Linked DNA regions of Macaca fascicularis. The protein of the gene in region 1 interacts with the protein of each later gene in a pairwise test. Links are inferred from orthologs where the notes say so. Each region holds a gene or a part of one and is shown on either strand. Other genes may lie near its edges. The genes, in order: RUNDC3A, EIF3E, AP1M1, SDCBP, RAP2B, MAGEB4 and CCNL2.

What was found.
Region 2: the proteins of RUNDC3A (region 1) and EIF3E interact in binary tests that used the Homo sapiens proteins (3 or more experiments, as listed by UniProt). The two-hybrid records come from large-scale screens. The link is inferred for Macaca fascicularis from reciprocal best matches to the Homo sapiens genes RUNDC3A and EIF3E.
Region 3: the proteins of RUNDC3A (region 1) and AP1M1 interact in binary tests that used the Homo sapiens proteins (3 or more experiments, as listed by UniProt). The two-hybrid records come from large-scale screens. The link is inferred for Macaca fascicularis from reciprocal best matches to the Homo sapiens genes RUNDC3A and AP1M1.
Region 4: the proteins of RUNDC3A (region 1) and SDCBP interact in binary tests that used the Homo sapiens proteins (3 or more experiments, as listed by UniProt). The two-hybrid records come from large-scale screens. The link is inferred for Macaca fascicularis from reciprocal best matches to the Homo sapiens genes RUNDC3A and SDCBP.
Region 5: the proteins of RUNDC3A (region 1) and RAP2B interact in binary tests that used the Homo sapiens proteins (3 or more experiments, as listed by UniProt). The two-hybrid records come from large-scale screens. The link is inferred for Macaca fascicularis from reciprocal best matches to the Homo sapiens genes RUNDC3A and RAP2B.
Region 6: the proteins of RUNDC3A (region 1) and MAGEB4 interact in binary tests that used the Homo sapiens proteins (3 or more experiments, as listed by UniProt). The two-hybrid records come from large-scale screens. The link is inferred for Macaca fascicularis from reciprocal best matches to the Homo sapiens genes RUNDC3A and MAGEB4.
Region 7: the proteins of RUNDC3A (region 1) and CCNL2 interact in binary tests that used the Homo sapiens proteins (3 or more experiments, as listed by UniProt). The two-hybrid records come from large-scale screens. The link is inferred for Macaca fascicularis from reciprocal best matches to the Homo sapiens genes RUNDC3A and CCNL2.

Annotation. Positions count from the first base shown.
Region 1 is NC_088390.1:65,368,617-65,372,492, reverse strand, and holds part of RUNDC3A (RUN domain-containing protein 3A), read right to left. Parts: intron 2,550-3,876; coding exon 2,434-2,549; intron 2,083-2,433; coding exon 1,934-2,082; intron 1,769-1,933; coding exon 1,683-1,768; intron 459-1,682; coding exon 369-458; intron 265-368; coding exon 184-264; intron 35-183; coding exon 1-34. UniProt on the Homo sapiens protein: May act as an effector of RAP2A in neuronal cells.
Region 2 is NC_088382.1:117,762,770-117,766,645, forward strand, and holds part of EIF3E (eukaryotic translation initiation factor 3 subunit E), read right to left. Parts: intron 3,246-3,876; coding exon 3,128-3,245; intron 1-3,127. UniProt on the Homo sapiens protein: Component of the eukaryotic translation initiation factor 3 (eIF-3) complex, which is required for several steps in the initiation of protein synthesis.
Region 3 is NC_088393.1:16,523,245-16,527,120, reverse strand, and holds part of AP1M1 (AP-1 complex subunit mu-1), read right to left. Parts: intron 1,208-3,876; coding exon 1,051-1,207; intron 1-1,050. UniProt on the Homo sapiens protein: Subunit of clathrin-associated adaptor protein complex 1 that plays a role in protein sorting in the trans-Golgi network (TGN) and endosomes.
Region 4 is NC_088382.1:68,556,526-68,560,401, reverse strand, and holds part of SDCBP (syntenin-1), read right to left. Parts: intron 2,455-3,876; coding exon 2,279-2,454; intron 828-2,278; coding exon 656-827; intron 1-655. UniProt on the Homo sapiens protein: Multifunctional adapter protein involved in diverse array of functions including trafficking of transmembrane proteins, neuro and immunomodulation, exosome biogenesis, and tumorigenesis.
Region 5 is NC_088376.1:56,125,710-56,130,233, reverse strand, and holds RAP2B (ras-related protein Rap-2b), read right to left. Parts: upstream 3,140-4,524; 5' UTR 2,672-3,139; coding exon 2,120-2,671; 3' UTR 646-2,119; downstream 1-645. UniProt on the Homo sapiens protein: Small GTP-binding protein which cycles between a GDP-bound inactive and a GTP-bound active form. Involved in EGFR and CHRM3 signaling pathways through stimulation of PLCE1.
Region 6 is NC_088395.1:30,249,445-30,253,797, forward strand, and holds MAGEB4 (melanoma-associated antigen B4), read left to right. Parts: upstream 1-1,380; 5' UTR 1,381-1,610; coding exon 1,611-2,654; 3' UTR 2,655-3,689; downstream 3,690-4,353.
Region 7 is NC_088375.1:233,376,340-233,380,841, reverse strand, and holds the start of CCNL2 (cyclin-L2), read right to left. Parts: upstream 3,132-4,502; 5' UTR 3,110-3,131; coding exon 2,822-3,109; intron 2,467-2,821; coding exon 2,392-2,466; intron 2,138-2,391; coding exon 2,028-2,137; intron 1-2,027. UniProt on the Homo sapiens protein: Involved in pre-mRNA splicing. May induce cell death, possibly by acting on the transcription and RNA processing of apoptosis-related factors.

The DNA.
Region 1 (3,876 bases):
GTGCCGCTCCTCCTCGTCGGTCAGGTAGTCGTAGCTTGGGAGAGGGAGTAGTGGGCACGGCCGGTCCCGCCCCTCCCCACGCGCGTCTGCGCTGGCCGCCGAGGGCAGGGGGACCAGGATGTCCCCAGGATGTCCTGAGGACCCCCCCGTCTCCCGCCCCGCCGCAGTCATGGAGCCGCTCACCTCTGTGTAAACTTTAAGTAGGGCGTGTAATCGATGACCACGGGTGTCTTCCCGTCCAGGACTTCCCCCTTTAGACAGAAGCTGAGGCAGAGGAGCCACAGGGTTGGGGGTGGGTGTGAGGGGTTGGGGTAGGACATTTGTCGGGGAAACAGCCCCCTCCACCACTGCCCTCAGGCAGACCCCACCTGAAGTCGATGGCGCTCAGTCCGATCAGCATTCCGGTGAGGATGGTGGCTTCGTCCCGCAGCATGATGGCTCCAGAGTCGTAGAACCGTCTGTGGGGAGGCAGAGGGCCTGACAGTGCAGCAGGTCCCTGGAGCCCCTCCCCAGAGCTGCTGTTGTTGGCTTACTGCCACCCCATCCTGAAGGAAGGCCAATTCTCCTTCCTGATATGCACGCAGGCCTGGAGCCTCTCTCCCCCCTCAGCCTGGGGCTGGCACCTGTGGCCCCATCACCTAGAATGAGTGCTCCCTGAGCCGACTCCTCCCTCTGAGCTACCCCTTCCTCATCAAGTACTGGGTTACCCAGATCCTTCATATCAGGAAGCGAGTCTTAATCATTAGTGCTTGGTATACAGTAGGTGCGCAAAAAATGTGTTGACTTGAACCTGGAAATGTGTAGACTGAGGAATGGAATTCAGCAAAAACATCAGGCTGGCTGTGGCCAATTGGGATGCGGAGGTACACGCCCCCTGCCACACCCAGACAGTTTCAGATGCACCTGCCCACATAGGCACACTTCTCCTTGTAACCCCTTGACTCAGGCACCCAACCTCCCTGTGAACCCACAGTGCAGGGGTTGAACTCCCCACATAAGGACTCTGTGTCCGTGAATAGCAAGTACAGAACTGCCGCTGTAGTTTGGAGAGCCAGAAGGGCTGTGTTGTAGGTCATGGAGCAAGCCAACACATGAGATGGTGCATAGCTGAGGCTCATCCAGAGGTGTGCCAGGGCGGAGTGTGCTGGGCAATGATGTCGAATAATGGGCATTAGATTTGACTTGCAAGTGATGGTGGCAGTGGTAAAACTTTGTCCTGGGGCCGGGTGCGGTGGCTCATTCCTGTAATCCCAGCACTTCGGGAGGCCGAGGTGGGAGGATCACCTGAGGTTGGGAGTTGGAGACCAGCCTGACCAACATGGAGTAACTAAAAATACAAAATTAGCAGGGCGTGGTGGCGTATGCCTGTAATCCCAGCTACTCAGGAGGCTGAGGCAGGAGAATGGCTTGAACCCGGGAGGCAGAGGTTGCAGTGAGCTGGGATCGCACCATTGCACTCCAGCCTGGGCAACAAGAGTGAAACTCCTCCTCAAAAAAAAAAAAAAAAGAGTTTGTCCTGGGACTGCAGGCCAGGCTGGAAGAGGGAAATCAGCCGTGCATGCTGGTGCTGGGACTTGTAGTCCAGGAACTGAAGGATGCTGCAGGAACTTAAGGATCAGCTGTGTTTGGGCAATGCAGGTGCACCCTGAGGCCTGTGGTCTGAGTTGCCTGGGAAGTCTGACCTGGTGGTCCGGGTGTCGCGCAGAGCCGTGGTGATGTATTCTGACATGCGCTTCTCCATCAGTGCCACCCGGATCCATGCCCGGCCCTGGAAATCACGTTCACTTTTACTTGCTGCCCCAGAGAGACTCATGTGTCCAGCATCAGGTGTGGGCCCTTCTCCCCTGGGCTGTGGACAGGGGGTGAGGACCAAGAAACAGGCAGGCCCCCTGTGTCCAGAGCAGAGAGCAGTTGCTTGCTCCAGGCCCCTCACCTTGGCCCGGGCTGTGCTGATGTTCTCCATATTCTCGATGCTGCTCACACAGTTGTTGGGCACTTTGCTGCAGGCCAGCCGGATATAGTCCCAGAAGCCCCGCTGCCCGTCTGAGCTGAACCAGCTCACTGGACCTGCTGGGGCACAGGCTGAGCCAGGGCAGGGAGCGGACTCAGCAAGACCAGGGAGTTTAGAGAGGGTCCATGTAGTGAAGCACTCACATGCATAAGTATAAGCAGCCTCCTCCCACAAAGATCTGTGCATACACATGCATGTATGCAGTGGGCACCCCAGCATATAGCTTGCCCACTGATGGGGATTGTAGGCCAAAGGCGTCTCCCACTTCCCAGATTTGTACACAAGCTTCTGCGCATGGTCCAGGATGGGAGCCAGGGTCAATGAGGGGATTCAGAGTCCATGGAGTATATCAGAATGAGGTGGCTGGGAGCTAAAGGCTGGGAGTTGGGGAGGGACCACTGGAGGAGGGACCCTGGGCCCACCTTTGAAGCGGTGGCTGAGGATCTGCTCTAAAATGGCTGCAAAATTGACAAACTCCTCTGATGAGTCATCGATGGGCTCCGCTGTGTACTTCTCCAGCAGCGTTTTCACAGAGAACCTGGGTGGCAAGGTGGGGAGACAGGGCAGTGGGGTGTCAGGTGAGGAAACAGGCTGAGACAGGGAGCAACTGGCAGAGAAGAGGTCAGGAAGGGCATGGATGTGGTGGGGGGCAGAGGGAGCGGGGAGACAGGCAAGACTACAGTGACCATAGAGGTACCATGTCATGTGGAGTGAGAGGGTGGCAGGTGGGGAGGGAGGGTGACAGGTGGGAGACTGATTGACAAAGTGGGTGACAGGAGAGGTGACACCCAGAGAAAGGAAGCTTCGGGAACAAGGGGTGAGAGGGACTGAAAAAATAGGAAGATGAGGTGCCACAAGCCGGGGGCGGTCCCAGAGCCTGTTCCCCCAGACCACCCTTCAGGGTCTGTGTGTGCGAGGCTTGGGTCAACTAGGTGTTAGAAGCCGGTGTGTGCCCCACCCTGAGCTGTCTTCTGTGATTGCTGGAACAACCTTCAGTCCCTTTTGGGGATGGGGTCACCTGTACCAGGGCATGTGAGTTGGCACTGTGCACATGGAGTGTGGGCATGTGCAGGTGGCCAGGTGGGCTCCCAGCACACAGATACCCCCTTCCCCCTTTCCTTCCCGGCTTGGCCTCCCACACACCAGCTGCCCAGAACCAGGCAGTGCAGAGCTGGGCGGGGGTGGGGTGGGGAGGTGCGGGGTATGGGCCTGACACAGACACTGGGCAGGAGGGGGCATTGGCAGCAGATCCTTGGAAGGGGCTTGGGGGCCTAGCTTCTTAGGAGGAAGGGACCAAGGGAGACCTGTGGAGCTGAGGGACTGAAGCCATGCAGTGCCCCCTCTCCAATCCTGTCTACGCCTCAGGCTCCCTCTGCAGTCACTACCCCTGCAATCTCCCCCTGCCATCCCTGCAGTGGAGTGGGGCAGGGATGAGGACACAGTTCCTAACATCCCATGATTTCCCTGTTGTGGGTGGCAGAGCAAGGGCGGGGTGTCCAGGGATAATGGGAGCTGCTTGGAAGTGTCCTTTTCTTCTTATATTTATCAAGCTCTATAATGTGCCAAGCACAGTACTTTGTCTGCACTACCTTATCCATGCTCAGCCCTGAAAGATAGGCCCTCTTATCACTCTCATCCCCATTTTACAGATAAAGAAATTGATGGTCCAAGAGGTTGACTGATCTGTTCAGAGCTACATGGCTTATGAGGAGTCAAGCAGGTATGTCTGATTCTGATTCTGAAGACTCTGCTCTTTCTGCTACATCTGTGGCCTCCTGGCAGCTATCGTGAAGACCTAGGCCTGGAGCAGCCCCTGCTCCACTGCCCTTTGTCCTCTACTACACAAGTCTCCAGCCCTGGAGCAC
Region 2 (3,876 bases), on another chromosome or scaffold:
ATGACAGCTATGCTACATACCCTACATAATCATTAGGTATAACCAAGTGCCATATTTAATTTTTCTTAAATTAGCTTTGTGTTATCTTGAGATGCTGACAGACTGGTAAAAGACAAACTGATAATAAAGACATCAAGGGACAGGGGATATAAGGGTAGCTGCCCACCTTATGAGCATTTTCGTTGTTACTGTTTTTTGAGACGGAGTCTCACTCTGTCGCCCAGGGTGGAGTTCACTGGCACGATCTCGGCTCACTGCCACCTCTGCCTCCCGGGTTCATGCAATCCTCCTGCCTCAGCCTCCCAAGTAGCTGAGATTACAAGCATGCACCACCATGCCCAGCTAATTTTTGTATTTTTTTTTTTTTTTTTTTTTTGAGATGGAGTCTCGCTCTGTTGCCCAGGCTGGAGTGCAGTGGCGCGATCTCAGCTCACTGCAAGCTCCGCCTCCCGGGTTCACGCCATTCTCCTGCCTCAGCCTCCCGAGTAGCTGGGACTACAGGCGCCCACAACCGCGCCCGGCTAATTTTTTGTATTTTTAGTAGAGACGGGGTTTCACCGTGGTCTCGATCTCCTGACCTTGTGATCCGCCCGCCTCGGCCTCCCAAAGCGCTGGGATTACAGGCGTGAGCCACCGAGATGAAGTTTCACCATGCTGGCCAGGCTGGTCTCAAACTCCTGACCTCAAGGGATCTGCCCACCTTGGCCTCCCAAAGTGCTGGGATTACAGGTGTGAGCCACTGCACCTGACTGCATGTTCCAAAATGAAAACATTTTCTTATCCTTCTCACAGAAGAAATACGCTACAATGTATCTTAGAGAGCACAATTTTGCTTGAAGATTTAATGGGGTGAGATATGTCCCCATAAAAATATAGGTGTATTATAATACTGAGTATGAAATGTACATGAAATTCCAACACAGAACTTCCACCAAAACTGAACACTTGCAGTGGATCACAGTGAATAACTTTGTATTGCACTACTTACACCACTCACGTATATAATCACTGTCCTCTGGCTGATTATTTCCGGGAAAGTGTTAAGTATGATACTATATGTTCAATGAAATTTAAAAAGGGGGAATTGCAAGAAAAAGGTTTTCACATTGAAAATAGGTAGTTTGTAAGTATAATAAGATTACAAGTTTTTAACACATGATCCTTTCATTTATCTCAAATTCAGTACCTATTAAGCTATAAGGATCCTCTTTTTCTAACTGGTGAACATATCTACATTCATCTTATTCATACTTTGATCCCATAACTCCCCAGTCTTTGAGTGACTGAACTACAACATCCTAAATTTTCTGTTGTAGTCTAACAACTGGATTATTTCAGGTGTCCCTTTGTAATCACCTACATGTGACCTGAAGATCTAAAACTACTTATTCTAAAAGCATACAAGTAGTTTAGTATAATAGATAGTTCTGCCTATGCATGTAATGTGTGTGTATATATATATCTCTCTGTGTGCGTGTTTTCCTGCATATAGTCATCCCTTGGTATCCCCAGAGCATTAGTTCCAAGACCTCGCCTACCCTCTACTCACCAGCCCCCTCAAATACCAAAATCTGCAGGTGCTTAAGTCCCTTATGTAAAATAGCACAGTACCTGCATGTAAACTATACACATCCTCCCATATACTTTAAATCATTTCTAGATTACTTATACCTAACGCAACGTAAATATCATATAGTTGTTGTTATACTGTAGTTTTATTTGTATTTTTTATTGCAGTATTGTTATTTTTTAGGTTCTTCTCCTGAATATTTTCAATCTGCAGTTAGTTGAATCCACAGATGCAGAACAGAGAGTTGACTGTATTTATATGTAGTATATGTCATAGTATAGTATAGTATGCTATAGTATGGCACAGTAATTGTGTATTTGTTGCTTTTCTAAAAATATCTGGTAACATCTTCACAAATCACAAAGGAAAACTTAAGAGCCAATCTCTAAAAATTTGGTTTAAACACATAGAAATTAAAGGTATAACATGGCAAAATATCCAGCAATTCCTCAAGTGAATTCAATGGTAGCTAGGATTTATCTCAAATGATAATATTCAATTTTAGTAAGAGATTTTATTTTTAAATGTTTCTAATAACCCAAAGGACTTCTACCCGTGACATGTACTAAGTCAGAGTAAGGCAACATGCTTACGAAACAGTAAATCTACTTCCAGGTAAAGGGAAGTTAGGAATAAAATAATCTTATCAGCTCAAAACTACCCTCCTTGGGCGAGGCATGGAGCTTAGAAGGGTAGGAAAGAATGTAGCCAGGAATAAAGTGAACTCAGGTTTCTCTTATAACGAGTTGTGCTCTAAAGCGCTAGGTATTGCACAGGCACAGGGTTTCTTTTTTATTTTTTCCTGAGATGGTATCTCACTACATCACCTACTTTGGAATGCAGTGATATGACACTGACTCATTGCAACCTCCACCTCCTGGGCTCAAGCCATCCTCTGACCTCAGCCTCCCAAGTAGCAAGTAGCTGAGACTACAAGCGTACGCCATCACGTCTGGCTAATTTTTTGTTGCTTTTATTTTTTTGGTAGATAGAGGGTTTCGCCATGTTGCCCAGGCTGGTCTCGAACTCCTAGGCTCAAGCGATTCGCTTGCCTCTGCCTCCCCAAGTGCTGAGATTACAGGCGTGAGCCACCACACAGTGGCACAGCGTTTCTTAATGGACATTTTGAGTTAGGTAATTCTTTGTTGGGGAGTAGCGGGAGGGGTGCTGTCCTGTGCACTGTAGGATGCTTAACAGCATAACTGGTCTCTACTCACTAGGTGCCAATAGCACCCCCCAGTTATGACAGCCGAAAGTATCTCCAGACATTGCCAAATGTCCCCAGGAAGAGGGAAATAGGAGATGGAAATTCTGTAGCATAATCAGTACAGATAAGTACTAAAGAAGTTTTTTTAAAAAAAAAAAACAGTATTAATATTAATATTTATTAATTATACTGGCCCCTACAAAATAAGGATAAATGAACATTTAAAAATGAATAAAGCACTCATTTAAACCTATGAACTTTTACTGTGGGATACTGGATAAAATTTGAATTAACATTTGTATTAATCCAGAAACGAGAATTTTTCGAATTCAAAATTAAGAAGAGTTTACCTGGTTGACTGCATTTGCCTCGTAGTTTCTGGATCTTCAAACATCTTCACAATTGGTTCTGTTTCTGCCTGAAGCTGTTTCAGTTGTGCAACCACTGTGGTTCTTTTCTCTCTCAAAGCTAATTAAAAATGCAAAAGAGTACTACAATGGGCATGTTAAAGTGTGCTACTCATCATGAGAATGTCTGGAAATTGTTCAGAGTATTTAAACCATACATACATTTACTCATCCCCAATATATTCATATGCCAGGGGCTACTCACTCAGAAGTGTCCCCCAATCCCTAATTTCTTTTTTCTAGTAATACAAAACCACAAAAAGGAAAAGGGAATCCTCTTTCTACTCTTAAGGGAAACTGGAGAATATACAGCCTTGGGGTGACAGAGGTGAAAGAAAAAAAGGGTAGGACCCAATTATCTATCATTTAATTCTCCATTGCAGAAACTTCATTCCAAGGGTTTTTATATTTGTTCCCATTTAATTTTCTTAGGTGAATATTATCCAGGAGTTTTTTAACAAAAACTCAGAGGGGCTTACATATTACTATTACAGGCTATCCACTAGGTTGAATGGAATTTAAATCCATTAAATAATCTCTTTTAACTATAAATCCAGCTCTATAACCTCTCAAACCAAATTCTATTGTTCCTTTTACTATACGATGAAAAGGTGGAGAAAACTTGCACATAACCAACTCTGGTAACACCTTAATGTTTCATTAAGAAACTAAGAAATAGGCCGGGGGCAGTG
Region 3 (3,876 bases), on another chromosome or scaffold:
GATGTTCTGGCCCATTGGCCACACTGTACTACTGGCAAGGCCCCAAGTGTCTCCAAGAACACAGGAAAGGGCAGAGAGCCCATGTCTGCTGGGAGCAATGTGCACAAGTCAGCTCAACTGACCCGAATGGTCCTGCAGCGAGGGGTCGTTGTTCCCACCAAACTGTGGGAAGGTGAGGGATTCGCCTCCAGCCCCATGGCTGCTGGAGCTGGGGCTCAAACCAGGCTGTGGCTGCAAAGCAGGCCCTTCCGCAGTAGTGTGGGTACTGAGATGGGCCTGCAGGTCTGCCCAAAGCCGTGGGGTGGCCAGTTAGACCTCCTGGATAGAAACTGGCTTGGCCAAGTCTCCCCATGGGCCCAAGGACAGGAAGGGTGGGGGACTCTGAGATCTGGGTGGGGCTGTGAGAAGTCTCTCCCCTTCTCTGTACCCTACCACCCCTCCGTGGTCCAGGCCACTTCCCCTCCCACCTGCACGATGGCCCCAGCCTACTCCTCACCTACCCATGTCCTCTCCTGTCCCCACAGTCTTGCCCCACTCAGCAGCCAGAAACCTCCAGAAGATGCACATCTAAAAGCCTCCAAAGACTTTCTGTCACATTTCAGATGATGTTCTTTGAGACCCCAGACCCCGCTGACCACTCCGGCCTCACTGCTGCCACACGCCCCCTCTCGAGGGCTCCAGCCACCCCGATTGCAGCTGCTGGAATGAGCCTTTCCCTTGCAGAGCCTTCACCCACGCCTAGTGCCTGCCTGCCCCTCCAGCTGGCAGACGCCAGGCCTCCCTGCAGGCTTCCTCCAGGGTGTCACTTCCCTTCCTGGGCCCCTGGGCCAAAGAAGTTCAAGTCACACCTGCTCCTCTCCCCGCACCCATCACGCGTGTCATCGTGCATTCTCTGCCTGTCTCTGCAGGCAGCAGGGAGCTCCGGGAGGGCTTGGCTGTATCCAATGCTCCCGCTGTGCACAAACCAGTCCCGGCTGAAGGCGTGTGGACGTGCACACACACCAACACCCACACAGGAGTCTCCTGGGAGCCGCCCCAGTAAAGGGATACGATACAGGTTGTTGTGTTTGATCCACATGAAACGGACCCCTCCGTGGGCCAGGATGGGCGACAGCATCCCCTCCTCCTCCTTCTCCATCAGGATGGGCATGAAGTGCTCCACCTCCGACATGTCCACGTCGCCACGGTAGTTCCGGCAGATGAGCACCTGGGGTGGGGAAGGAAGAGGAATGATGCTTGCATTTTCAATTCTACAATCCAGGGGCTTGGGGCAGGGGGTGAGATGCACCAGCCTGCTTCCCTCTGGGGACTCCGGTCATGGCCCCTATCCGCAAAAGAGCAGGACTCGAGGCCGTGCTGATCTCCATCCCCCAGGGAATTCCTGGAGAAGAGCATCTCCCAGTGTGAACGTCCACAGGGGCCACTGCAGTTCTTTGCAGGGTGAGGGTAGAGGGGAACTCTGCGGCAAAGGTCCAGGACCGAATCATTCAGAGACATCAGGTTAAGTAATGCCTCACAAGCTCTCAACGCAGACCTTCTCAGAGCCTTTGCCGGGCCAACGCACCCTGCTCTCCCGCCTGTGTCAGGGCGCCCACTCCCGCTGAAGATTCGTATTGACTGAAGTCCACCGGTGGCCTGAAGAGGAGAAGCCCTCTTGCTGGTCTCTCTCTTTCATAGCCTGTGGGTCGGGATATACAGCACCCAGAAACCCTGTCCACTGCTGAGAGGAAAGGAAAATGGGACAGCTACTTTGGTGCAGTCTGGTAGTTTCTCAAAAAGTGAAACCCAGTGTTACTATCCGATCCAGTCATTCCTCTCTCTGGTATTTACCCAAGAGAAATGAAACCACATGTCTGCACAAAGACTAGCACAAGAATGTTAACAGCAGCTTTAACTGAAACAGACCCAGACTAGAAACAATGCCAATGTCCTTCAGCAGGTGAACTAGAAACAAACTGTCCGTGCACACCATGAGAAGCACGCCTCGGCAACGAAAGGGCTCGGACTCCCGATACGCGGGCGCATCAGAATCACTGTGCTGGCTGAGAGAAACCAGACAGACGAGCGCTCATCCTGTATGACCGCACGTGTATAAAAGCCCAGAAAATGGTGATGAAAAACACATCGGTGGCTGCGTAGGGATGGGGCTGGACAGCAAAAGGGCGTGAGGAAGCTTTCGGGGGCGATGGAATGTGTGGTTATGGCTTCCCACATGACTGAGCTCATCAAATTGCACACTTTAGATAAGTGCAGGCTATTAGTGCAAATTACATCTCATTAAAGAAAAAAAGGAGGTCGGAAGTTTTGCTAGCCTGGGCACGGCTGCGGTTGGAGATGCTGCTTGGAGCAGCTGCAGCTCTTGGGGCCTGCAGGACAGCCAGCTGCAGGACTCGGCAACGCGCTGAGAAGGCCATTGCGGTGCTGACCATCCTGGGAACCAACTGCCTCAGAACTTGGCATTTCATTACACGCTGACTTTATTCTCTTAAGGAGAGACTGGGGGTGGTGGAGGGTGGCACCTTCCTTTCCTAGTGTCTCATTCGTGGCCTGTGGGACTGATTGGAGGGAGGCAGGTGATGACGTGTTGAGGGACCAGCCCCTTCCCCTGCTGTCACTCTTGACCCCCCCAGGTCCTTCCTCACAAAGGGTGGCAGGGCTCTTCCCACACAGAGGCCAGATGGGGTCTCTCTCCCACTGTTGAACTGCCACCTACCCCAGCCTCCCCGGCACTGAGAACAAAGCCCAAGTCCGTCCCCGTGGCTCCCAAGGACCGGCGTGGTCTGGCTCCTCACAGTCTCTGACGCCTCTCTGCCTGCGCTGCCCTGGTCCATTCCCCTCCAGCCGGGCCCCTTAGCTGGTCTCTGAGTGATCCACATCTGTTCCCACCTTGGGCCTTTGCCCTGATCTGGCTCTTCTCACTTCCCAAGGCTCAGCTCAAATGATACCTCCTCTAAGGGTCCTCCCAGCTGGGCGCAGTGGCTCACGCCTGTAATCCCAGCACTTTGGGAGGCCGAGGCGGGCGGATCATGAGGTCAGGAGTTTGAGACCAGCCTGACCAATATGGTGAAACTCCATCTCTATTAAAAATACAAAATTAGCCAGGCATGGCGGTGCATGACTGTAACCCCAGCTACTTAGGAGGCTAAGGCAGGAGAATCACTTGAACCCAGGAGGCAGAGGGTGCAGTGAGCCGAGGTTGTGCCATTGCACTCCAGCCTGCATGATAGAACATAACTCTGTCTCAAAAAAAAAAAAAAAAAAAAAAAAGAAGTCCTTCCTGCTTGCTCTGGCTGAGATCATGTCCCATCCCTCTGCACCCTGACCCCTGCTTTATCCCTATCACCTGCTGCGTTATACATTTATCTGTATCCTCGTCTATTGTCTGACATCCCCTGAGAACAGCGATGACTCCTGTCTCATTCACAGCTGTGTTCCAGCACCCAGAACGGGGCCTGGCCCATAGTAGGTGCTCAGTAAACATTTGTGGAGTGAATATGGGGGTGAGGAGAAAAAGGAAGCGAGGATAATGTCCAGGTCTCCAGTGCAGGTGGCTGAATGGGTGATGGCATCACTGAGATGGAGAGAGAGCAGGTACAGGGAATGCATTCAGAGAAATGCTGAATTTGTGGTGATGGCGGGACCTCCCTAGTGTCCCAGAGGCCAGTGGATCTCCAGAGAAGTGCTGTGGACAAAGTCGAGAGTCACCGGCCCATGGACATGAGTCAAAGCCCACCTGGGAAGAGTGACAGCATGGGGAGGCACACGTAGGCCTGAGCCACTCCACAGCCCTGAGGAGGGCAGAAAGGGAGGAGAGCAGGCGGTGCGAGAAACAGGAGGAAACCCCCGAGCGCAGCCTCCCGGAAGCGGAAGGGAGCG
Region 4 (3,876 bases), on another chromosome or scaffold:
ATTACAGGCGTGAGCCACTGCGCCCGGCATTTTTTTCTAGTATTTCTTACCAAGTTTAATTGTACACTATTTTACAGCTAGTAACCAGTTTGCTTAAGTAAACTGAGTTGAATATTTTAGTCAAAAAAAAAAAACCCTTTTCCTTTCTGAATATTAAATAATTTTCCCCATATACAATACTACCATCTCCTCTTAGTTAACTGTGTATTCTAAATCAAAGTCTACGAAATGAGGAGGTCATGCTTAAAACTTTTTGACCTTAAGACAGACTTATTTAGGAATTTGTGGAGGAGAAAAACTATAAAAATAAAGTATTAATATGAACCAAAACTATTATTCATTTCCTTGTATTCCTGGATTGAGAAATGTTGGGCAACTATTCATTTAGAATGTCATAAAAATCTTTGTTGCCCATATTTCCACAGAATTCTAGTGTGAGGTACTTCTGAAATCATTGATTCCACCCCCCTTGTTATAGGAACTGTAGTTCTAGATAACAGCCCAAATAATTCCCGTGACTGGCTAGAGCAAGAACCCAGGCCCCACGTTCCCCATCTCCCACCTAAGTCACTGAAAACAGCACCACCTAAATACAGTCAAAAGACAGACATTTTCAAAAACTGCAGCAGAACATGGCACAAAGTCTGTTCCTTACCTTCAATCCAATGACATTCTGTCCATTGATTTCACAGATGTTATGTTCTGTGAGAAGACCATTTCTGGCTGCAGAGCTATCTTTCACTATGGATGTTATTTTTCCATTTTTAAAGATAAAACCAACATGTCCAGTGCTATCCTTATGCATGGTAATCGTCCGTTCAAAGGGCCTACAAACATAATGGGTTATATTAAAAACTTAATTCTAAGGTAAACATTTTAATGGATTTCATATACCATAAATGTTGCCATATTGGACACTTTTATAATAAACACTGTTTCTAATAAGAGCAACTTACAGCTCTGATTTTATACATTCACAGAACATCTTTGTGTAAAAGTTTTTTTTAAGTTTATTCATTATGGTTTGACTGATTTACTAATCAACATTTCCTTCTTTAAGTATCAAAGACAACTGCTTTATATGGTTTTATCAATGTTTTTCCTTTATAATTAATCAGACTTTACAGCATTAAGAATAAGATAAGCTTTTTAACTAAATCACAGTGGTAAAAATAATTTTTATTTTTTATTAACTTTTGGTATTTTCTACAGCCAAATCATATTTAGGAACTATTTCTTTTGTTTAAAACCTCTAAAATATTTCTCACAACTTGACTTTGAAAATTTTATACACTGCTATATTTGAAAAGAAAAACTAGAGCAGCAGTAAGACGTTAAGTTCCTCAAGCCCCTTTGGAAAGGAAGGCATGCAGCTATTATTAAAAGGCATCCAGCTGTCCCTCTAAAGTTGTTACACCAGTTACGTTTGCTTGATTCTCTATAAACTCTGTTATCATGTTATCATAAGGGTTTTATGATAAACTTGTGTTTACAATATTAAATTCAGAAGAGGCATTTCTTCCTGTTAGTACAACTTACTCTTTGAAACTCTGCTTACAGTAAAAAGGACATTCATCTGAAACATTTACTAAATACCTAAACTGAATGAGCAACTGGAAACACAAAGATAAAACAGAAGTTTCACTGAGAAGGAACAAAAACTCAAAAGCTTACTATAGCAATGTGATATAGGTCTACCCTTAATTGGGTAAGGAGTAGACAAGAAAATAAATGGAGGCCCCTGTTTCATGTGCTAAATGTTTAAGGTCTAAGTGAATGAGCTGCTAAACAGAATATTCCATGTTCTTGGAAACTACTGCTTCATAACTACCCAAAAGTCTTGATACGGTTTTCAGAACTCCCACACTACTTGGAAGTCTGCATGGGCTGTGACCCTCACAATGAGGCACCACTGTGATAGTATGTCTACAATTTGAGAGTCCTGATAAAACTAGGCCAGATGTATCTAAGCAGTAAGTCGGAAAGTGAGCTCAGAGATACCCTGCTACTCAGTTACTTCTCCAACATACATTTTCTATTTTCTAGAGAGATTTGTCCTATAAATTCTGAAATAAGGTATCATATCAGAATGCTTTAAAAACATGCTTTAAAAACAAACAAACAAACAGTCTGCACCACACAGCTGCAAGACTGTAAGGCTCATCAATAACATTTTATCATTTTCTGCAACAAAATAATACATTCACAGACTCTGAAAGCCCAAAAAAATGGAAAACTAGTATTGAATTTTCATTTGAGCTGTTTAGTAACAGCTTACCTGTCACGAATGGTCATGGTAATCTTCTCTCCAAAAGCCTGTTTGAGCACCTTGTGCGCTTTATCTGAGCTCCACCCTGCACAGTTTTCACCATTGATCTGGAGTACTTGGTCCCCAAATCTCAGACCAACCAATGAGGCTGGAGAATTAGCCTGGACTAGCTGAACAAATATACCCTAGATAATAAGAAAATAATTTTCGTCATTTACCACTACTATGATACGGTTTAAAATGCTGGAAAATTAGGAAACAACTGTTTGTTAAAAACTCTACCTTAGTGATTAAAAAAAAAAAAAAAAGGAAAAACTATAGGAGTCTATCCAGTTATCACCTCAAAAGAAACTGAAAAATTTATCAAGACAGTAACTCCAAAGAATACGGCAAAAAAGTGAGATTTCAATGGCAATTTTTATACCAAATCATAACCCACCTGACCAACCACAATCCCCCCTTTCAACTTGGAATACAAAACTAAGGAAAATAGAGTGGGACAACTTTAATAAATGCAAGTGTCTAATGAGTCTGATAGAATACCAGATTATCAGTCCATAATCATATTTAGGGGAAAAGCAAGTCACATATTAAAAAGTTTGGTGAGTTCTTTTACAGCTTAATAAATGACAGTTTAAGGTCATAATTCTACCTTTTGAGCTGAAACATTCCTTTACCCATTGGCTAAATTGTGTATAATCAAGTAAGATTAAAGTTTGTCAGACTAAAAAGATGGGCATATTAAATCCACATGTACAGGCTTATAAAGAACACACAAATAAATACAGAAAACTCAAGTACTGTTAACAAATAACTACTTACATGGATATTTTTACTTACGTAAAATCTCAATCAGAAGTTGAACAAAATATAAATAGATAAGTATAAAAGAAGAATAAGCCTGGTAAATAAAATGTAAGTGCATCTACCTCAATCCTAAGCTAGGTCACATATTTCTATCACGCATCTGTTACATTGTAGAGTGATAAGCAAGAACTAGGTAGCACCCCATATAAGAAAAAAATGCCCTTTGGCCAAGTGAACAAATCCACTGCAAGTATTTCCTACAGTGGGGCCAAGGGGCCTATGAAAAGTATCTTTTCTCTTTAGGACAGAGGAAAGAACACAAGAGGAATCCTGGCGGAAGGGGCAGCAGTATCCTCTATTCCCTGAAGATTTTGGAGAAAGGGCAGCAAAGTCAGAGCATCCCAACCAAGCACACAGATGTATTTTGAATAAGATACAAGTGAGCAAGGCCATCATCGATGGCCTCAGCCCCCTGGGTGGGCAGGCAGGGTTGGGGCTTCCTGCCAAGATCAGCCTCCTCCATTTACAGCAGTGCACCACACTTACCATTTTCTGTGTTGAAAGGCTGGATGCACTAAGCTACAGATGTATGACTGAAACTGAATCCAATAAGGTAATGGCTGAAACTGTAAATTGGGGTAAAGACTCAGCACGTCCTTAACAATTCTAAATGGTTCCTCAGAGAGTAACCCTGTTTCATATATTCAGTATATTAAGGTGAGAGGTAATTATAAAGTAATGGCTGCCCTAATTAGAAAGAAACTTTTACTCAAAAAACTCAAAAAATGACCTATTAAATT
Region 5 (4,524 bases), on another chromosome or scaffold:
AAGCTCACACTGCCTCCTACTGTTAAAAGGAAAAACTTATGAGGTCAAATATGGTCCAAACTGCAGGGTGTAAAGGAGAACAAGGATATTATCTTAGCCTGTTTTCTTTTAAATCTATTTCCAAATCAAAACCTCAAAGGGGTTGAGACAGTGTCCACAACCTACTCAAATGTACTGCAAAAAACATCACTAGGTATAACTTAAGAATTGAAAACCATCTTTCCCAAACATGTTTTCGACTTGATGTGTGATATAAACATGGGGAAAAAAGGAAGAAAAATTTTAAAGCGCCATCCTACTTTGCCAGATGGATGGTTACTTTCCCAGATCTAAGGCAATTTTAATAGATGGGTTCTCTTGTTCCCTACCTACAATGAGGTAAACTGTTCCACATCAGATCAGATTCAAAATACCTGTTCATCTTCTAATCAGATGGTAATGGCCATACCCAGGGCTTCCTCGACCTTGATGGTTTTCTCCAAATTTAAAAAGTTGGGAGTAGTGTCATCCATCTTGTCACTGAGACACTTCTGTCTTTAAAATTTCACAAATAGCTCGGGAGAGTATCATGCACCTACCCCATCCACCTCAGCCATGATACTGTATTAAATCACTGAATATGAAACACAGAAACACAAACAATAGTTTTGGGTTTCTTTAAAAATGACATTTGTATTAAAAGTCTTAAAATGAAGAGACAATGATTAAACGCATGAAATTAAAAATTACAATTAGTTAGAATTGGTACATCGCAACAGTAAAATTTTGCTCTTTGCTTCTGGAGGAACACCCTACAACAGGTAATTTAAAAATTTAAAAATAATATAAAAGGGGAGCTAAATACCTGAAAACTTAAGCAAAATGAAGCAAAAAAAAAAAAAAAAAAGGAAACAAATTCATTGCAAGAGATGGAAATTACATTTTAAAGGCTGAAAATAATAAAGAAATTCACTAAACAACAGGCCCTATTGTCCTGGCTCCTTCTGAAAGATTATTGAAAGGAAACTGGGAAGTGGTTTGGGGAATAGCAGATTCTGGGATATGGTGGGAAGTTCACAGGTTGGCACCGGCTGGAACAGCTGAGTTTTGAAGGCACTCTGCAGACACAGGGGTGCTGGGGGCCCTGAATCACATTTACAAAGTCTTTGTACTGTATTTTAAAAAGCTAGTCATTAAAATCGGTTACTGCCAACCAAAAAACAAAAACAAAAGGCTAAACTTAAAACACACACACACCACACACACACACACACACACCATAGTACACACGAAAATGTGCAGATCTGTAACATTTTTTTCACAGCTGATTAAAAAAAAAAAAAAAAACTACCGTTCTCCCCCAGACTCCCCTTTGATACAGTAGGTAAACAAAATAGATTTTTTTTTTCCACAAATATCAGCAGACACTTTCTGGCACCCCACACTGTATTGGCATCAGTGTTAACAGTCCCAGTTCAGATGTGCAATACTTCAGATTGGATACACTGTAACAAGAATCCAACTTTGCATAGACATCCTCAGAATCGCAATCAGTCATGGGGTTGCCCTTCCAAGCTGGCAGAAAAGGAACCCAATCTTAACTTCCAGCTACTCCTGGAAAACAAGGAAAAAAACAAAAGTTTCTTCTTCTCCTCCTGCTCCTTCATATGGTTCTCCCGGACTTCCTTCCATGTATTTAAAACTTGGAACTAGAAAAACGGTTGTTGACCAAAAAAAAAAAGAAAAACCATTTCCACCTTCTCCCCCTCCTTTTCCTCCACCCCTCCCCCCTCCCATTTTTTTTCCAGGCTGAAACTTTTGCTTGGTGGGTGTCAAGCTGCCGATACTGCGCCCTAACGGCTACTTAAACGGGGAAATATGCATCAACCAAAATCAGGGAGAAACGTACATGCTGCAAAGAACCACATTTCCACCAGAGTATCAGATGGGCAGGACGGGACACCCCCTCGGGTACAGGGTGGAGGCAGGGGACGCCGGCCGCGGAGGCCAGCCGGGCTCCCAAGACACCCTGGCCAATGCAAAGTGGTCTCCAATCTCAAAGCAAGAAAGAAATCACATTTAGAGAGTCGGATGCGTTTGGCTTTTGTGCGCAGAGCGCGGCCGGCGCGCGGCGGCCGCCTCAGAGGATCACGCAGGCCGAGCAGCAGCCCTCATCGCCGTTGGGCTGCGCCGCGTAGTTCATCTGCCGCACGATCTCGGCAAACAGCTCGTCTACCGAGGCTTTGTTTTTGGCCGACGTCTCCATGAAGGGGCAGCTCCACTCCTCAGCCAGGGCCTTGCCCTCGCCGTACGAGACCTCGCGCTCGCCCTCCAGGTCCACCTTGTTGCCCACCAGGATCATGGGCACGCGCTCGTACCGCTTCACGCGGATGATCTGGTCCCGCATGGGCTTGATGTCCTGGAAGCTCTGCTGGTTGACGAGGCTGTAGACCAGGATGAAGCCCTGACCGTTCTTGATATACAGGTCCCGCATGGACGCGAACTGCTCGGTGCCCGCAGTATCCAGGATCTCCAGCACCGACGGCGACGAGTCCACCTCAATCTCCTTGCGGTAGAAGTCTTCGATGGTCGGGTCGTACTTCTCGATGAAGGAGCCCGTCACGAACTGCACGGTGAGCGCGGACTTGCCCACGCCGCCCGAGCCCAGCACCACCACTTTGTACTCTCTCATGGCTCCGTCAGCGCTCTCGCCGCGCCTGCCGCGGCCCCGTCGGGGCTGCGCGCCGGGGAAGGCTGGGCTTGGCGGCTGGACTTCTCTTCCCCTTCCTCAGCTCCTCAGGAAAAACCCAGGAGAGAGTAGCCCAGAGAACGCAGGGCGGAAACCACCGAGCGGGGGCCGGGCGCCGGGCCGGCCCGCGGCGGCGGCGTGTCCCTGGGGCGCGGGTCGGGGCCCCGCAGCAGTCCGCGGCGGCAGCAGCAGCAGCCCGGGCGGCGAACCGGGAGGACAATGCCCGCAGCCTGCGCGAGGCGATGGCTGGAGCTCCTAGCTGCGGCAGCCCGGGAGGGCGGGGAGGCGGTGGCGGCGGGCTGCGGAGGTGGCTGCTAATTGCGCGTCGGGACGGGACGCGCGTGGCATGAGTCCCCGCGGAACGTGCGCCCACCGCCGCGGCCCATCGCGCTCTCTCCCGCAGCCTCTACTGGGCGAGGGCTTCCTACTCGCCGCGCGCAGCCCGGCCCTCCCCTCCCCGGCGAGCATGCCCAGTGCGTTCCGGCCGCGCCTTACCCAAGCGGCCGCTCCTGGTTTTCCGCGGGGCCGGGAGGGGGCGGGGATGTAGGCGGGGCTCCGGATTTGAGTCCAGTTTGGGGAGTGGCGCGAGTTAGGAACTGGCTGGTAGATGGGGTGTGTGTGCGTACACTGGAGCGAGGAAAGCGGTGTAGGGAGTATGCAGGCCGCTTTCTTTTACAGCTGTGGGAGTGGTGGACAAGGGCGGCGGCTCTGCGAGAAGCATGTGGGTGCGGCGGGCCGCCTCAGGATAGAGTAGGCTGTGGTCTTGCCAACTCCCGTTATCAAAGGCCCAAGGACGCCATTCACCCAGCCCCGGGCGGGCGTGTGTCTGGGGCCGGAAACCCGAAGTCATGTGGGTGCCGTGGAATGCACGAGCAGCCGGCGGAGCATCCCGGCCCCATAGATTTTTCTACACCGTTCGCCACAGAAACGCTACTCTGTGCACTGCAGCCTTGCACAAAGAAAACAGGAGGTACTCCAAGCCTGAGATACTGTCCCGACTAGGAAAGGGGTAGCCTCTGGTACCTGCAGCTCTCTCGGGGCAGGGTCCAGCGGGTCGTACCCACCTCCCCGCTCGGGTGCGGTCAAAACCCGGAGACTAGATTACATCCCAATCCAGAAGTCTCCGGGCGCCCGCAGTTAGTTCAGGGCATGCTCAGTCGCAGAGCAGGTTTTTGGGCTTGGAAGTAGGAAGCTTTTGCACCACACACCCACACTCTAGCTCAAATTACCTCTCCCAGACTCCGCACTCATTGGTCTCGGGACGCGAGTCTCACACCCCTAAGTGTTGTTGATTGGCTGCCGACAAGGCTTTATCAGTTTGGTGCGCTTCATTGGCTAAAAAGTAGCCTCCGCTCGCGATTGGTTATTTATAGAGATTGAGAGGAGAGGCGGAGGCACAGCTGTTCTTTCTCCGCTGCTTCCCCACCCCCTGCCTCCCACTTCCCCAACCCAGGCGTTTTGAAGTAAAAGTGAAAAAATAAGAGGCATTTAGGCTGAGAGCTCAGAACTAAATATAGTTCTTTGTTGGTGTTTTCGAGAGAGTCTGACTCCTCGGTTTCCAGTCACGACTGCCCCTCAAAGGGAGCACAAAGGGCTAATTACAGGTTTTGGTCCGCAAGAAACCTCAGAGTTGCCAAGTTTTTTTGCAGGGAGTGGGAGGGGGGCGAGGAGCCGAAATGGGCCACTTGGAATTCGTTTCACCCGGAGGGGTAGGGGAGTGTCCAAGCTTGCCTCAGAGGAAGCGTCTTCGCTGGCTGGCGGACAATCGCTAGACTTAGCTGGGCTGGCGCTCCCGG
Region 6 (4,353 bases), on another chromosome or scaffold:
TTTTAATATTTAAAAATGTAACATGACATATGTTTACCACCATAGCATCATCCAGAATTGTTTTACTGCCTTAAAAGTTCTCTGTGCCTGATCTATTTATCTCTCACTCTCCCCAACCCTTGGAAACCACTGAACTTTGTACTGTTTCCATACTTTTGCCTTTTCCAGAATGTCATATAGATGGAATTATGCAATGTATAGACTTTTCAAATTGGCTTCTTTCACTCTGTGATATGTATCTAAGTTTCATCCATGTCTCTTTGTGGCGTGATAGTTCATTCCCTTTTAGTGCTGAATAATACTTTATTCTATTAATTTACCCACTCTCCTTCTGAAGGACATATTGGTTGCTTCCCAATTTGAGCAATTATGAATAAAGCTACTATAAACGTTTGTGTGCAGGGTTTTTTTTTTTTTTTTTTTTTTTTGTGGGCATACTGTTTTCAACTCATTTGGCTAAATAACAAGGAGCACACTTGCTGGATCATATGATAAGAGTATGCATAGCTTTGTAAGAAACTTACAAACTGTCTTCCAAAGTGGCTGTACCATTTTGCATGTCCACCAGCAATGACAGTGTGCTCCTGTTGCTCCACATCCTCATCCGTATTTGGGGTTATCAGTGTTTTTGATTTTGACCATTCTTATAGGTATGTAGTGGTATCACATTATTGTTTTAATTTGCAAGTCTCTAATGACCTGTGATGTTGACCATCATTTCATGTATGTATTGCCTTCCATATATATTATTTGTTGAGGTGCCTGCTTAGATCTTTTGCCCATTTTTCATAGGGTTGGTCAGTTCTTATTGTTCAGTTTTAAGAAATGTTTGTATGTTTTGGTTAACAGTCCCTTATAAGATATGTCTTTTGAAAATAATTTTTTCCCAACCTGGGAGTTATCTTATTCTCTTTGTGGTATCCTTAGCAGAGCAGAAGTTTTAATTTAGCAAAGTCCAGGTAATCAATTTTTTTTTCTTAGATGCCCATCACATTTTATATCAGAACTAGAAAAGGTGAAATTCTTGTTCCGAAGTCGCAGTTATCAGTCAGCAGAAGAGACAGTCCACAACCTTGCATGGAGTCCAGATGAGGATCTTGAGTGCAAATCTGGGACCTAAAGAGAGAGTACTAAATGCTTCTAGGCAGGGGTGGTGGGTTGAGGGGCCCCTGGACTTCGTTCATTTGGGTCCCAGAAAACTAAAGAGTCAATTTCACAACACCAATAGAGAGAGGCTCAGGCCCTGCCAAGAGCTGACATGATAATTTTAAAGGTAATCAGAGTGGATCCTCTCCAAGCTTGAACACAGAGATCCCAACTGCGAGGCTTGTTGTCACCCAGTCAGCCCCAGGCAGGGTTGGCAAGCTGCAGCCTAAGGCACATTGTAACTTCCTCAGCTGAGTTCTCAGGGGACAGAATGACTAAGAACAATAGCCCAGTGAATACTTAGAGCAGTGTTCTCAAGGAATCCTGCAGAGGCGGCTTCTGAAAAGCCAAGGTAGTATCTGCCTGCTGAAGGTGTTCTCAGGATTTCATTCACTCTTCTCCAGGAACCACATCACCTGCCCTTCTGCCTACACTCCTGCCTGCTGTGCCTAACCACAGCCATCATGCCTCGGGGTCAGAAGAGTAAGCTTCGTGCCCGTGAGAAACGCCAGCGGACCCGTGCTCAGACCCAGGATCTCAAGGTTGGTCAGGCTACTGCAGCAGAGAAAGAAGAGTCTCCTTCCTCTTCCTCATCTGTTTTGGGGGATACTCCCTCCAGCTCCCTTGCTTTGGGCATTCCCCAGAAGCCTCAGAGAGAGCCACGCACCACCCCTGCTGCTGCAGCTATGTCAGGCACTGGACCTGATGAAGGTGAAGAGAGCCAAGATGAGGAAAATGCAAGTTCCTCCCAGGCCTCAACATCCACTGAGAGATCACTCAAAGATCCTCTAACCAGGAAGACGAAGATGTTGGTGCAGTTCCTGCTGTACAAGTATAAAATGAAAGAGCCCACTACAAAGGCAGAAATGCTGAAGATCATCAGCAAAAAGTACAAGGAGCACTTCCCTGAGATCTTCAGGAAAGTCTCTCAGCGCACAGAGCTGGTCTTTGGCCTTGCCTTGAAGGAGGTCAACCCCACCACTCACTCCTACATCCTTGTCAGCATGCTAGGCCCCACCAATGATGGAAACCAGAGCAGTGCCTGGAGCCTTCCGAGAAACGGGCTTCTGATGCCTCTACTGAGTGTGATCTTCTTAAACGGCAACTGTGCCGGTGAAGAGGAAATCTGGGAATTCCTGAATATGTTGGGGATCTATGATGGAAAGAGGCACCTTATCTTTGGGGAACCCCGAAAGCTCATCACCCAAGATCTGGTGCAGGAAAAATATCTGGAATACCAACAGGTGCCCAACAGTGATCCCCCACGCTATCAATTCCTGTGGGGTCCAAGAGCTTATGCAGAAACCAGCAAGATGAAAGTCCTGGAGTTTTTGGCCAAGGTGAATGACACCACCCCCAATAACTTCCCACTCCTTTATGAAGAGGCTTTGAGAGATGAAGAAGAGAGAACCGGAGCCCGGCCCAGAGTTGCAGCCAGGCGTGGCACTACGGCCGTGACTAGTACGTATTCCAGGGCCACATCCAGCAGCTCTTCCCACCCCATGTGAGATCTAAGGCAAATTGTTCATTTTGTGGTTGAAAGACCTGTTGCTTTCTCTGTTCCTGTGATGCATGAATAACTTGTTGATTTATCTCTTTGTTGTATTTTCTAGTGATGTTTCTTAAAATAGAAAGTTTATTTAGATTCAGAATATAAGTTTAGAAATGGCATGCATCACACACTTATTGCTGTTTATCAGGTTGGTTTAGTAATAAGAATTTTGTTTTAGAAATACAAATAGAAAATCCTGAAATCATTTTTGTGATACAGAGCAAAATAACATGGCATGGGAGTAAGGTTATCCTTAGAAATTTATAATAACTTCACAGTAAAATAGGTAGAATCTGAAGATAGAAAGAGAAGAAAAGTAAAAGTTGCTTTATTCATGGTTTGTCTTACTCCGTTCAGTCTTTTTTTGTTCATAAATTTAAAAGTTACATACCTGGTTTGCTTAGATTATTCAAGAATGTGGAGGCCTGGGCCAAGGTCAATGACAGTGTCCCCATTGTCTTCCCTCCATTAAGAGAAGACTTGGAGAGATGAGGGAGAGAGAGCCAGAGATAGTGTTGCAACTGGGTCTGGCATGTTTCAGTGTGGTGTCCAGCAGTGTCTCCCACTCCTTGTGAAGTCTGAGGTATATTCTTTACTTTTGATTAACAAAACACTTAACCTTCTAATTAATGGAGGGCCAAAGGGGAGTTGGTGGGAACACTATATATAACATATTTGTATGTAAAATGATTTATCTTTTCTTTTTCCTGCTTTTCAGTGTCCTTTTTTTTAATTGTAGATTTATTTAGTTTCAGAATCTAAGTTTGTGAAAGGCATGAATCACTCATTTATTAAAATATAACAGGTTGAAGAGCGAGAATTTTTGCATTATGTAAAACAATTTAAAAATCTTTTAAGTCTTTTCCTGTGATCTAGAACAAGATAATATGGAATTGGAATATGAAATTTGTGAAAAGGAAATTACCTTGCAATAAAGTTGGTGGGACCATGAAGTAGAGAAAAAAAAAAGTAAAATGTGGTCAATTCTTGCTTTGTTTTGTTCTTTTTAGTTTTTCTTTGTAAAAGTGAAGTGTATGTACCCGGATTGGCTTAGCTTTTTCAGGAATGTGGGGGAAATTAAATAGCAATACATTTGACTTCCTGGTCACTTACACTTTAATCGTCCAAATATTAATTGAGCAGCTGTTCTTTGGAGGGCTCCTGGCTAGTACCGGATAAACTAAAAAACAAACAAACAAACAAACAACAAAAAACCCCCAATCCCTGCCCATAGAATTTTAGAATCCAACAGCAGCTATCATATAATGAAGGTGATGAGATACTCCCTAAGACCTAAAGACAGGTGAAAAGAGGGGATAAGAAAGAAGGTGGGGGTGTTTCCAGCAGTGGAATCTAGTGTAAATGTCCTAAGCAAGGTAATCGAGACTTTGGGAAACCGACCATACTGCAATAGGAGGTAATTTTATGTCCCGGCCTAGTGCCTAGATGGGGTGCACTGAGCAGGGGTCACACACTCAAATGGTGGATCTCAGACTTCAGAGATGGAGACTGGAATGAAAAATTGCCTTTAACAGTTACTTTGAGATTGCGGAAAAACCAGAGGGAATCTTTGCCTAGAAGCAGGGATTGAAAGTGGCCGGTGCTCTTGTCCCAGTGCAAGTGAAGTGAATCCAGTACACAAACTAGGTGTTTTA
Region 7 (4,502 bases), on another chromosome or scaffold:
CCCGACCTCAGATGATCCATCCACCTCGGCCTCCCAAAGTGCTGGGATCACAGGTGTGAGCCACCATGCCCGGCAAGGCCAGGGTTTTATTTTGTTTTGAGACGCAGTTTCACTTTTGTTGCCCAGGCTGGAGTGCAATGGCACAATCTCAGCTCATTGCAACCTCTACCTTCCGGGTTCCAACGATTCTCCTGCCTCACCCTCCCGAGTAGCTGGGATTATAGGTACCCACAACCACACCCAGCTAGTTTTGTTTTTTTTTGAGACGCAGTCTTGCTCTGTCACCCAAGCTGGAGTGCAGTGGCACCATCTCGGATCGCTGCAAGCTCCGCCTCCCGGGTTCACGTCATTCTCCTGCCTCAGCCTCCCGAGTAGCTGGGACCACAGGCACCCGCCACCTCGCCCGGCTTTTTTGTATTTTTAGTAGAGACAGGGTTTCACCGTGTTAGCCAGGATGGTCTCGATCTCCTGATCTCGTGATCCACCCGCCTCGGCCTCCCAAAGTGCTGGGATTACAGGTGTGAGCCATCATGCCTGGTCAATTTGTGTTTTTAACAGGGACGGGGTTTCACCATGTTGGTTAGGATGGTCTCGAACTCCTGACCTCAGGTGATCCACCTGCCTAGGCCTCCCAAGGTGCTGGGATTATAGGCAGGAATCACCACACGCGCCTGGCCAGAGGCTGTGTTTTACTTTTATTTTATTTATTTATTTTTTGAGACGGAGTCTCGCTCTGTCTCTCAGGCTGGAGTGCAGGGACAGGACCTCAGCTCACTGCAAGCTCCGCTTCCCGGGTTCACGCCATTCTCCTGCCTCAGCCTCCCGAGTAGCTGGGACTACAGGCGCCCGCCGCCACGCCCGGCTAATTTTTTTGTATTTTTAGTAGAGACAGGGTTTCACCATGTTAGCCAAGATGGTCTCCATCTGCTGACCTTTTGATCCGCCCGCCTCGGCCTCCCAAAGTGCTGGGAATACAGACGTGAGCCACCACACCCGGCCGAGGCTGTGTTTTCTAAAGGACTTCCATTAACTTCAGGTGCATAAACCCTGGGTCAGAGACAACGGTTCTCTGCTGGAGAAATTTTGCTATTCCAGGGCCGTGAAGCAACATCAAGATACTTTTGGGTTTTTTGTAAACAGGATCTCACTCTGCCATCCAGGCTGGAGTGCAGTAGTGACATCACAGATAACTGTAGTCTCAATCTCCTGGCCTCAAGCAAACCTCCTCCTTCAGTATCCCAAGTGCTGGGATTACAGGTGTGAGCCACCACACCTGGTATGAGAGAATTTCTGGCTGTCACAACTAAGGTGGGGTACTTCTGTCATCTAGTGAGTAGAGGCCAGGGATGTTGCTGAATCCTGCAACACATAGGAGAATCCCCTACAACTAAAGATTACCCAGCCAGATGCGGTGGCTGACACCTGTAATCCCAGCGCTTTGGGAGGCAAAGCCCAGCAAATCCTTGGGGCCCAGGAATTTGAGACCAGCCTGGGGAACACAGCGTGACCACATCTCTACCAAATAAACAATAAAAATTAGCTGGCATGGTGTCGTGCTCCTGTAGTCCCAGCTACTCAGGAGGCTGAGGCAGGAGAAACTCTTGAGCTTACGAGATTGAGGCTGCAGTGAACCATGATCATGCCACCACACTCTGCCCTGGACAACAGGAAACCATCTCAGGGGGAAAAAAAAGATTATCCAGCCTGAATGTCAATAGTGCTGAGATTAAGACTCCCTGCTGTAGAGCGTTCGGAAACCTGTAGGAAAGAAACAGCAACAGGGCTGTGCACTAGCGCCGGCATGAACCGCCACAGTGCACTATCCTCACTGGAGGCCCTGCCCTCACTGAACAGCATCTGCCAATGCCTCTGAGCAGGCCCTGTTCGTGGAACTTGAGAATGCGCTCACGAACATCCCACATGTTTAGAACCTCAGGCCTGTACTGTTATACAAGTGTCACTGCAGCTTCACCAGAAAAAAAGGAAACAGACACCTATGATAGACTAAACAACTCCGACCGACTCACTTTTTCTCTCTCAGCTGTCGAAGGCGGTGAAACACATTGATGACGTCCCGTATGCGTCTCGGAGCCTCTTCTATCTTGGAAGCCAGGTGGACACAGGCCATTGACACATGCTGAAGCGAAAGCATTGCAACACGCCCATGTTTGTCCCCAGCCACGGCGTCCTCACGGCCGCCAAAGGCTTGAAGGCTATTCAGACCAAAAGGGAGGTGCACCCAGGGAAAAAAGAAACCAAGAAACAGAACCCTCCGGCACAGAGCTCAGACTGGGGGGCAGGTACTCGCTCCCCTGAGTACCCGGGCAAAATAACAAACCGTTTTCCCCGTAACATATTTCGCTAGGAATGAAGTGCAAGAGGAAACCTTACCTCCATGGAGTGCTTCACGAAGGACTTGGTATAAAAGAACCGCTGGAACAACACCTGCCCGGTAGCCATGGCCACCTAGAGTAGAAGAAAGTTTCTGTATTTTCAAACGCACCATTCAAAGCCTTCGCAGCCAAAAGTCATCGAGTAACGTGGGGACTCCCCACGCAAAACCAAACACTGAAACGCTTCCCACGTCCACAAAGGCTCTTCGCGTCCCGCCGTCGCGGGATCCAGCGCGCTGGCGGGCGGGGAGGCCCTGGGTCAGGGGCACGGGCTGGCTAGGGACTGGAGTCGCGGCAGGGGCTGCGGTCGGGGCAGGGGCTGGGCTCGGGGTCTGGGCTGGGGCGGCGCGGGCCCGACTCGCCGCCAACAAAGGGCGGCTGCCGCCCCAGCGGTTACCTGGGCCCGAGGCTCGCGGCCGCGCCCTCACCTGCGGCAGGCGGAGCAGGATGCCGGCCGCCTGGATGAGCTCGCAGCCCACCACGCGGAGGTCGGTCTCTGTGTCGGTGTCGAGGCCACTCGACATGGACGGCGTGAAACGGAGCTTGTCGTCAGGCAGGAGGCAGTTCTCCAAGGTGATGAGCACCCCGGAGTACAGCCTGTCCCCGATCAGCACCCCCTGCGACCCCGAGGGCGCGCCCCCAGAGCCCGGGGCGCCGGCCGCTGCTGCCGCGGGAGCGGCCGACCCTGCAGCCCCAGCCGCCGCCGCCGCCGCCATTTTGTGCCGCCGACTCCCCTTCGGCTTCTTCCCGCAGGGCGGCTCCTCGCGACGCTCCACGGCCACCACCGCCCCGCCTCGTCGCGTGTCATTGGTTCGGCCCGCGACCAGCGGGACGCCGCCTAGCGGCAATTGGCTACGCAACCTGCCCGTCAGCAACGCGCCAAACGCCGACGCCGGAACCTGGCGCGGGTGGGGCGGACTCGTTACCCAGCAGGCTCTGCGGTGCCGGCCGACCCCGGAAGCGTGTCTGTTCCGAGCGGAGGCGCGGGTCGCGGGTGCGGTGCTGAGAGCGCTTGTCTGTGCGCCCCGAGCGGGGCTGGGACTCTTCCAAGATGCCCACGTTCGCACAGAGACCTCGGATCGCGGAAGCTCGCGTCTCAAAACGCCTGTGGGTCAAGGGTGTCCATCTCGGTCGGATCTGGGGCGGGACGACCCCCCACTGCTGTTCCCTGGGCGCGGGCAGGGTCAGAGGCTCCGCTTGGCCTCGCCCTGGATGAGACGCGCGTGCCCGGAGTCACCCGGCCGCCGTCGGCGTCGTGTCTTCAGTCCTTGTTGACTCCAGGTTTTTGGGATGCGTATTAACGCCAGACTCCCGCAAAGTCTTGCCTTCAAAACTCAGCCGCTGGGGAGACACGGGTGGAGGGGGGACTGGAAACGTGGCCTCGACGCCTCTACAGAGCCCCTCCAGCATTGGGAGGCCTAAGTACCTCAAGGTTCAGGCCCCCGGAAGGAGTCGGGGGAGGGAGGTCCGGTGCTGTACGTGTGAAGGAGCTACCCCACAAACGCCAGGGAGACAGTGAGGGAGGGGTTCTTGGGTTTGTAACGTCTTAACATCGCTGATCGACCACAGCTGTGCAGGAGGGGCAGTAGGTATCTGTTGCTACAGTTACCGGAACCTTTGCCAGGACTAGTGCAGAACCACGGGTGAGGATAGTGGGGAAGCCTGCGTGGGGCAAGGGAAGGGTGAAGCAGTGAGAAGAGGGAAGGGCAGCAGAGGCCTGAGTGGTTGCAGGTTCACACACTGAGCTGCCAGTGACTGCCTAGCTCAAACGGGCTCAAATCCAGAGGCCACCATTGCTCCTCACCGCTACCCCCAGGTCCAGCTGTCCACTAGCTCTGCCATGATTGATACTGCAGCTCAAACAGTGCCAACTAAGACCCACTCTCCTCCGCCTGCTATGGGCAACACGGTGTGGTTACAGCTTTACTCCTGTCCTCTTTCCCCAGGCTGGCAGCTCAGGGAGGGATGTCTTGTCTGTTACAACTGCAAGCTCTCCAGTAAAGAAGGAATTTCCTCTTCTACACAGCTGGTTTTTCATTGGTGCTGCTTGCCCATTCCCTGAGCTGTGACTGCCCAAGGAGTGGGAGGTTGGTGGTGCCTCCAGCCAAT